2 linked regions of the Rattus norvegicus genome follow. The protein of the gene in region 2 purifies or fractionates together with the protein of the main gene of each other region. This does not show direct contact. Links are inferred from orthologs where the notes say so. Each region holds a gene or a part of one and is shown on either strand. Other genes may lie near its edges. The genes, in order: Fastkd5 and Mapk4.

Region 1 (3,814 bases), on a different chromosome or scaffold from region 2:
CATGAGTGCCCTTCAGAGAGCAGAGGTGAACACTTTCTCATGGAGGTATGCTAGCTTCTCTAAGCGAGTTCTTTTCAGTAATGGAAGCCATTCCCAGTGGGGTAATTCTACCACACGGTACCCAATTTGAACCAGCTGCCTTCTCTTCATATTGTGCAATCCAAGAAGATCCCTGGAACCATAGCAGTATTGGTTCTTGTTTGTAAACTGGATAGCTAGCTTTACTAGTGGGGTCTGCATGTGGGTGAGAGGGCACAAGCCAGCTATTCCCGTATCCCCCAATCTATCTGCTCCATTGCAATCAGAGTCCACCAAGGGTACAGTTGTCTTCTTTCTTAACTCGATGGATAGCTGGCCAGTCTCTAACTCAGTTTCCCCCTGGAAATACCTCTTGGCTTTTCCCTTTAGCAACTGATTCATCAAATCATCTGTAAGGCTGACTCCCACTTGCTTAAGTCGTAATTGGGCTACATCTTCAGTTGGTGTTGCTTCACTATTAAATGGTAATGGCTTCATGTTAGCATCAAGCTGAACCTCTAAGTCAGAAGATCGAGTATGAGGTAAAATCATATGGTGCTTGATGTACTGTGGGCCACCCAACATGGTCTCAAGTAAGTAGAGAGTTTCTAGGAATTCAGGCTTTGATCTCATGTCCTTGTTTGCTAAACTCCACAGATTTGCAGATGCTTCTTGCTGAAGGTGAGAATTAAGGCGGTTGCCCTTGTAATCTGGACATTCAATGGCAACTGTACCATCAAGAGTAAACAGTTCCTTAGTGAGTTCAAACTTACTTCTCATTTGAGCTAACTTGACAAACCCTGGGCTCAGAGCAACATTTATGAATTCAGCTGGAAAGTACTCAGAAAATGCCAAGCCAATCAGGCAGGTGAGAAGGTGCTCTGGGTACTGGTTGAATTCAGGCATCTTTCTGTGGATTTCATTTATCAGACTGGAATAAAATTCTTCTGTGTTCGGTGGCTTATAATTCAGAGTTCCAAACGACCACAGAATTTTGGCAACATCTTTACTTCGACAGTGTGCTACCCTTGGAGGCAAAGAGGCAGCTACTGCATTCATTACTCTTTCATCCAGGATACGTAAGGCTGAGCAGGCAAGGGTAAGGTGCATAACACCCTGAACCCCCAAGGAAGGAATTCTCTGAGGAGCAATTTCTCCAAACTGCCTCATGAAATTTACATGATCTACGTGAGTGAAGCGGAACATTTTAAGAATATGAACTAAGGTGTGGCTACGCACATCCTGCATATTAGCACAAGCTAGATCTCCAATTTTCCGCATGACAAATTCAGAGAGGCTAGTACTTGATTTAAAAAAACCCAAACAGATGGTACCAACTTCCTCTAAATTGACTGAATCTATATACTTAAGGATCAGTGATTCTAGTTTTTGCATCAGGTCCTGTGGTACTTGACGATTTTCACCTATAATATAAATTAAGTGAATTAGCTGAGACAAAGATAGCTCTCTCCAGTGCAAATTAAGGTAGCTAAAAAAAATTTTTAAAAATCGAGGCACTCTGCGGCCTAAGTTCCGCCAAAGATCAGCCACGAGGAGAAGCTGATCCAGGTTCATCCCCCATACCTGATGGCAAAACCTGGTTTCATACACATCTAGCATCGAGGCGGAGAAGGGGATTCTTAGGTCGACAAAGGCTTTCAGAATACTGACCAGGTCTGAGGTGTTAAAGAGCTGTATGTTTCTCACACTCTGATGACAGAGCAAAGCAAAGCTGTTACTGCACAGCAAAACGGAACTCTGTTCTGCTGGCAAAGAGCTGAGCTTACAAAAATAATTAGTTATGACTTCTGGCTGGAGTTTATCTTCATAAAATGTGACTTTGTGCAAAATTAGTTCACCTTCTGAGGCAGATAAGGGTTGGCGAGTCTCACTTCTGTTATAGCTGTGAAGCTGGTACTCTGGCCTTAGCTTTAAGAAAACTCGGGTTCCTTCGAAGGAATCAAAGACCTCTACATCCTCTTCGCCTCTTCTGGCACTGGGTGAGTCTGGATGCAATGCACTGGCCTTGAGCGCAGAAGCTTTGTTGAATTCCAAACCCAGGTGGGCACTGCTGGTTGTGAAGGCTCTCTGAGACAGGGTGGTATCACCAATGTTCTTAACTTTTCTGGCAAGATGGCAGGAGCTATTATGTTTAGGGAGATTCTGTCCCCCATGCTGTGCGATGTTTTCCATAGGCCAATATGCCATGCTTTGGGCTGCATGGTAAGCAGAAGGATTACAAGATGCTTTGTATTTTAAAAGTTTTAATAGCTTGAGAGTGGCTGACATTCTGGAGTCTGTGCTGATCTTTTTGGCAGTCAGAGAAAAGTCACACGTTCTTGTTTATATGGTGCTTCATTAGAGATGTTCCACAGAAACTGCCTGTAACTCTTCGGCATACCACAAGAGCCATGGGCCACAAATGATGGGCCAGTATTGGTGCCAGATACTGAAAAAAGGGTAGATGAAAAATGAGTGGCTTCTACCTATAACACAAAATGTACACATTATAAGAATTAGGTACAGCCAGGTGTGGTGGCACACACCCTTTAAATCCAGTACTTATGAGGTTGAGGCAACAGGATCTATGCCAAGACTATCTTGTGAAGCCCTGTCTCAAAAGACATAAGAAAAAAAAGAGAAAGATGCAAACTATACTACTATCCATGCATGTATGTTCAGTGTTAGTGAAAGCCCAGAGCACAAGCCATTAAGTGTGAAGGAGAAACTCTGCATGCATTGCAAACACCCAAGACACGATTAGGTGATTTCTAGACTGCTGTTTGATATAAATTCACTTCCTTGGAGGGAAGGACAGATTTCCAAAAGAAAGCTGAGGGTAAAAAGTGGGCAACTCATTTCTTTACAATCAACACATAATAGTACCTGGAGAATACAAGCAATTAATAAAAGTTGCCACGCTAACAGTATAAAGGAAAAAGTAGGATTTGCTTTTTCAATTTTGTTTATTTTTTTTTTTAAGATTTACTTATTTCATGTATGCGAGTACACTGTCTCTGTCACACCAGAAGAGGGCATCAGATCCCATTACAAATGGTTGTCAGCCACCATGATGTGGGTGCTGGGAATTGAACTCAGGACCTCTGGAAGAGCAGCCCAGGCTCTTAATCACTGAGCCATCTCTCCAGCCCCAATTTTGTTTATTTTTATTTGATGTGTATAGATGTTCTGTCTGCATGTATGTGTCTACCACTTGTGTGATTGGTGTCTGAGGAGGTCAGAAGAGGGGGTTGGACCCCCTGAGCTGGAGTTACAAGCAGTTGCAAGCCACAGGACTTGGGTGCTAGAAACTAAGTTCAGGTTCTCTGAAAGCGCAAGAAATATATATTTTAAGGCTTTTTTTCTATTTATTTATATATTTGTGTATATATGAGTTTATTTAAGTTTGTTTGTTTATCTAATGTGTATGAGTGTTTTGCACACCAGAAAAGGGCAACAGATCCAATGGAACTACAGTTATAAACCAGTGGGCAGTAAGAATTGAACCCAGGTCCCCCGGAAAGGCAGCTAGTGCTCTTAACCACTGAGCTGTCTCTCTAGCTCATAACAGGCATTTGCTCATTCTATTCTCTTAGGTCCATTTTTTTTTTCTTTGAAACAGGGTCTCACTGTGTAGCATTAGCTGGCCTCTACAGAACTTATTCTGTAGATCAGGCTGGCCTCAAACCCACAGAGATCTTCTTGTCTCTGTCTTCCAAGGGCTGAGGTGAAAGATACACATCATCACACTTGGCTTAGGTTAGGTTTTAAAATGAAAACATGGGAGGTTCAGAAA
Region 2 (4,593 bases):
AGAACTCTGGGAAAGGTAAAGCCGATGCGTTGTTTATTTCTGGTTTCTTCCAGTTTCTATCTGCAGACTGCGGTTGACTGTGAGTATTTACTGGGGAAAGGAGCACCGCCGTATACTTGGCAGACGGTTCGGAGAGATTCTGATCAATGGCTCAGAAGCCTCTCATCTTGGTGTAGGCGCATTTCAATAGTAGTGTGTTCTAACCAGAAAGCCTTCCTAAGACGTCGAACAGAAACAAAAATGTAAAACTCTGGATCTATATCTGTTGAGTAACAGATGGAGCTGGGGCTTCATAATCTTGTCACATGTATGACAGAGCAGTCGGCTTCAGGTACCTGAGGGGTGTGGCTCAGGTGGCTACGTGGGACAGGTTTGTTCTCTGCGATTTCATGATGTTGAGACCTTCTATGACAATAAGGACCAGCCCTGATCAAAGGTGTGGAGTTGACACCAAGATTGTAGAGCTCTCCAAGATGGACGCCAGACCTCAGTAGCTAATTCTGATCACACACAGGTAGATTCTCTCCTTGCAGAACCCCCTCCCTACCTGGAACCCCACATTCACATCTCCAAACACTGTCTTCATGGTGCAGGGAGAAGCCAGCAAGGCTCTCATGACTCCAACACGGTAAAAAGATGACAGTTAATGTGACAATGCCCGACGGATCTATGTTCCAATAAAACTTTATTTGGCTCATCCTGATCAAGTTTAATAATATTTAACAGATTCTTTTAAGAACATGACTAATTATCACAATTCTCCGTGAGCTAGCGGTCAGTCAGCAGCATGTCCCTTTACTCAAAAAGTAAAGCTTCCCCCCGACGACAAATGGCACATAAGGGGTGGTGTGCATTGCATTTTTTTCTTAAAGAAAAAAAAAAGGAATAAAACCTAAACCCTTTATATTTACATACTTTCCACTTAAAAACCCGGTCAGCATGATTGTTTTAAAATATATGTTTCTGATGCACTGTACGTTTCAATGTACAAACCACAGTCAGCGAGATTTAAGGTGCTGCGTCGTGAGAATGAACACAGCCCAAGGAGATCTCTCAACAGAGCAGCTGGACCTCTCGTGGGTATCTTTGGGATGTCGGCAGGGGGAGGGGAGGATAGATACCAGTGGCGGAGTGTTCAGGAACAGACCAGGGACTGTTGGTATTCCCCTCAACCCCCTGCCCCATGCTTTTCCTGCAGAGGCTTGGAACTGATTCCAAGTTTCTCTTAACCTGAGCCACCAGGATGCGATTACTTTGAATCCCTTTCTTTGCCTCGGGTTCTCCACCTTGATAGCTGGCTCTTGAGGACACCCGAGGTTAGGACCTTTCTTTAAACTCCTGGTTTATCTTTCTGGGTCTCTTGCCCGAAGGTTGCTATCTCTCAGGCCATCCCTTTAGGGTCTACTCCTGGCTAGGACTAAAATGATCCTGGGCGACATTAATGAAGGATGATGGGTGTTCTGCGGAGTCTTCCCTCCTAACTCATTTGTTTTTATGGAAAGCACCTTATTGCTTCTCCTACAAATGAGCCATTTGTGCCAAGAACATTTGGTCCTGAAATCGTCTTGGAGAGGAGCTGTGTGTGTGTGGGTGGGGTGGGTGGGATGCTGGGGATTAGACAAGAGGGATTCTCGCAATTTCCGTCTTTAAACTCATCCCTGTAGGATCTCCACTGGAGAACAATGGCTGTGTTGAGTCAGGAAAGTGCATAGGGCGTGCAGGAGGAGGCTGTAGGCACAGGCCTGGGAGATGACTAAGTTTAAGCAGCCCCCAAACTGTTCTGCTAGGAAGGAGTAACTTCAGACTGAGCTGGGTTGGGTTAATACAGGGAGGTGGCAGGTGAGGACATTTAAGCACTTGGGGAGTCGTAGAAATATGTCTGGCGACTAGGAAAAAGAAACCGGTTCTGTTTCCGGTTTCGGAAAACAGGAGCCACAGGTCTAAATTAAAGGGAAGGATGGGACAGACAGTAAGGGAAAGCGAGAAGCACTCGGGACCGTTTTCTGACCAAAAAGTCAGAGTGGCCCCAGCAGAGGAAGACATTATACTGTGGTCAGACACTGGTCCAGGGATAGGAGCTTGGGACACAGGCTTTATCCTGACACCACCAGGCTTGTGGTCCTAATGGCTTCACTGGGCCCAAATGTCAATTTGGGACTAGGTGGGTCACACGGCTTGGAAACTATGTCTGTAAGCTGTTTCTGACTCCTCGTAGGGCTGTAGACTTCGGTCTGAAATCCCTTTCTTCCCTTGTACACTCAACAGGCCTTTCCCTTTGATGGGAAACTGATAGCTCCCAGCCAGGGTCTGCTCAAACCCGCTCCCAGAGGTTAAAGGCTAGTTATTAAGGCAGTTTAAGAAATGGACATTCCTCTTGCTCCCCGGACCCGCGTGTGTTCTGCTAACCCCAATGCAGCAGAGAGGGGCTGAAGGAGTACTAGGAAAGCAAGGAAGCGGTCCAGCTTTCTGGGTGGGGTCTTGCTCCGGGAGTTCTCACGCACCCCTTCTGTGCTCACCACCTTTCTTTGGAGAAGGCCTCTGTTTGCACGAGGTCGCCGGGGTGCTCGGAGATGCACGCACCATTCAGGTCGCCCAGTTTGTTTTCCGGTAGGTCCTCAGGTTTGGTGCAGAGCTTTAGGGCACGCGAGATGAACACATCTAAGTCGAATTGGGGACTGGCACCCCCATCAATGGGTGTTGGGTGTCCCGGGGGTGAAGCAGAGAGACGGGGCTCTGGGGCATCAGGGGGAGGACTGGCACGCTCAGGGCCACCTTGTGTGCTCTTGACCCACTGCGCGATCTCCAGAAAGAGGCTTGCTGGCTCATCCTCACGTGACACTGGGTCTGCTGCTACTGCAGCCCTGGGGGGTGCGCTGGCCGCCTGCTTCCAGTGCGACAGGTCCAGGATGAGCTTGGGTTCCGAGTAGTGGTGGGGCTTGTTGTCGCGCCACAGCAGCTTGTCCAGGTAGGACGGAGACCCCACTTTGTAGTCGCAGGACCGTCCATAGTCGGCCTCAAAGGCGCGCTCCATGGACGAGTGCGACTGCTCCAGGAAGCGCTCGGAGCTGCTCTGTGAGTCCTTGCGTGGGTCCACCTGAACATCCTCCGCCAGCGGAGTAGAGCCAGCACGTGGGTCGCGCTGCACCTCGCTCGCGTCCTGACAGCGGTCAGGCCGCCATTCCAGATCTGACGACAGGCTCACGGGATACCTGCAAGCGTGCAAAAGAAGGCACGATGTGAAGCACACCCAGGATGAATGGAGAGCCAAATCGCCTAATACCCGTAGTCTGCTTACAAGTCCACTCATTATTCCTCCTAGTCCCTAAAGGGCAGGTACTATCATCCCTCAAGGTTGGAGTGTGATGGCGCAGGTGAAAGAGAGCTTCAGGGGCCCAGCTAGGGGGGCTGATCTGTGAGTTTAGTCTTTAGTAGTCAATCAACAGCTTTCTTGGACACTCACTGCGTGCAGGCTTTACATGATGGATTTGTGAACAAAGCAACAAAACAGTCTTCCTTATGGAACTTTCTAATTGGTTCACCTATGTAACCCATATAACAACATGGGGTCGTGTTAAACTGGGGATCTGGACCCTGCAGCTCTGCACTGGGACCTGGGAGGCTCCCCGATGCTCCTGCTGATCCTCGGACTGCACTTTGAGTGGCAAGGCCAGTGCTTCCTAATCCTGCCCCAGATTTGAATCACACAGGAGGATTAAAATTAAGTACCAGGTATCCCTTGCTGCCCACTACCAATGTTCTGGTTCAGTAGGTCTAGGTGGCCCTGTTTGGGCATGTTTATGAGATTCTCCTAGGGATTCTACGCAGCCCAGGCTGATAACCTCTGCCGTGATGGATCTGGATAGGTGCCTTGTAGCCCCTAGCCTCCAAGTAGAGCAGATGGGGCCTGCAGAAAGATCACAGACACCATCGAGGGAGACCAAAGAGCCTTGGAATTCTGCCCTCTACTGACTGCCCCGTAGCCAAGGAGACTGAAATCAGATAGCTAAGAGCAAACGGAGGGCAGATGGGCAGGCAGGTGGCTGGCTATCAGCTCTGGCTGAACCCCTTTCTTATGCCAAGTATTGCGGTTGGGAGCACAGACAAGGTGGCAGCTCCTGGCCAGCTGCTCCCTGAGCCAGAGGGCTGGTGCTCACATAGGACAATCAGACCAGCCAAGGCCAGGCAGGTGCAGCCCATAGGCTATGGGGGTACTCTGGCTGGAGAGGTAGGGGAAGGACTTGTGCTACCCACCTCCCAGGGAACACCATTAATGTGGGCATTGCCCTCAGAGTTCAATACCACCCTTTGCCTGAATGCCCTTGAAGTTGCAGGGGTTTCTAGGAAGAAGAGCTGGGAAGGACCAGCATCTGTCTGGTACACTCCAAGTGCTGGCCATATATGATCTACTATCTTGAGATAGTAGTACTCTATCTGAGAGGACTTAGTTTGACCACCACAGTCCTAAAGATGAGAAGATTAGCATGCCACAACAGTGAGTGTTCCTGCAATAGGGACTTGTCCTTTGTGCAGGTGTGACAGAGAAGCCCAGGAGCTTCAGGTACTACCCTGAACTAACTAGCAGTGACCTGGGGT

What was found.
Region 1: the proteins of Mapk4 (region 2) and Fastkd5 purify together in Homo sapiens (affinity purification with mass spectrometry; 3 studies listed by BioGRID and IntAct, with this or other methods). This does not show direct contact. The link is inferred for Rattus norvegicus from reciprocal best matches to the Homo sapiens genes MAPK4 and FASTKD5.

The regions. Positions count from the first base shown.
Region 1 is NC_086021.1:138,283,714-138,287,527, forward strand, and holds part of Fastkd5 (FAST kinase domain-containing protein 5, mitochondrial), read right to left. Parts: intron 2,505-3,814; exon of another isoform or gene 2,468-2,504; 5' UTR 2,308-2,467; coding exon 13-2,307; 3' UTR 1-12. UniProt on the Homo sapiens protein: Plays an important role in the processing of non-canonical mitochondrial mRNA precursors.
Region 2 is NC_086036.1:69,787,392-69,791,984, forward strand, and holds the end of Mapk4 (mitogen-activated protein kinase 4), read right to left. Parts: intron 3,210-4,593; coding exon 2,513-3,209; 3' UTR 669-2,512; downstream 1-668. UniProt on the Homo sapiens protein: Atypical MAPK protein. Phosphorylates microtubule-associated protein 2 (MAP2) and MAPKAPK5.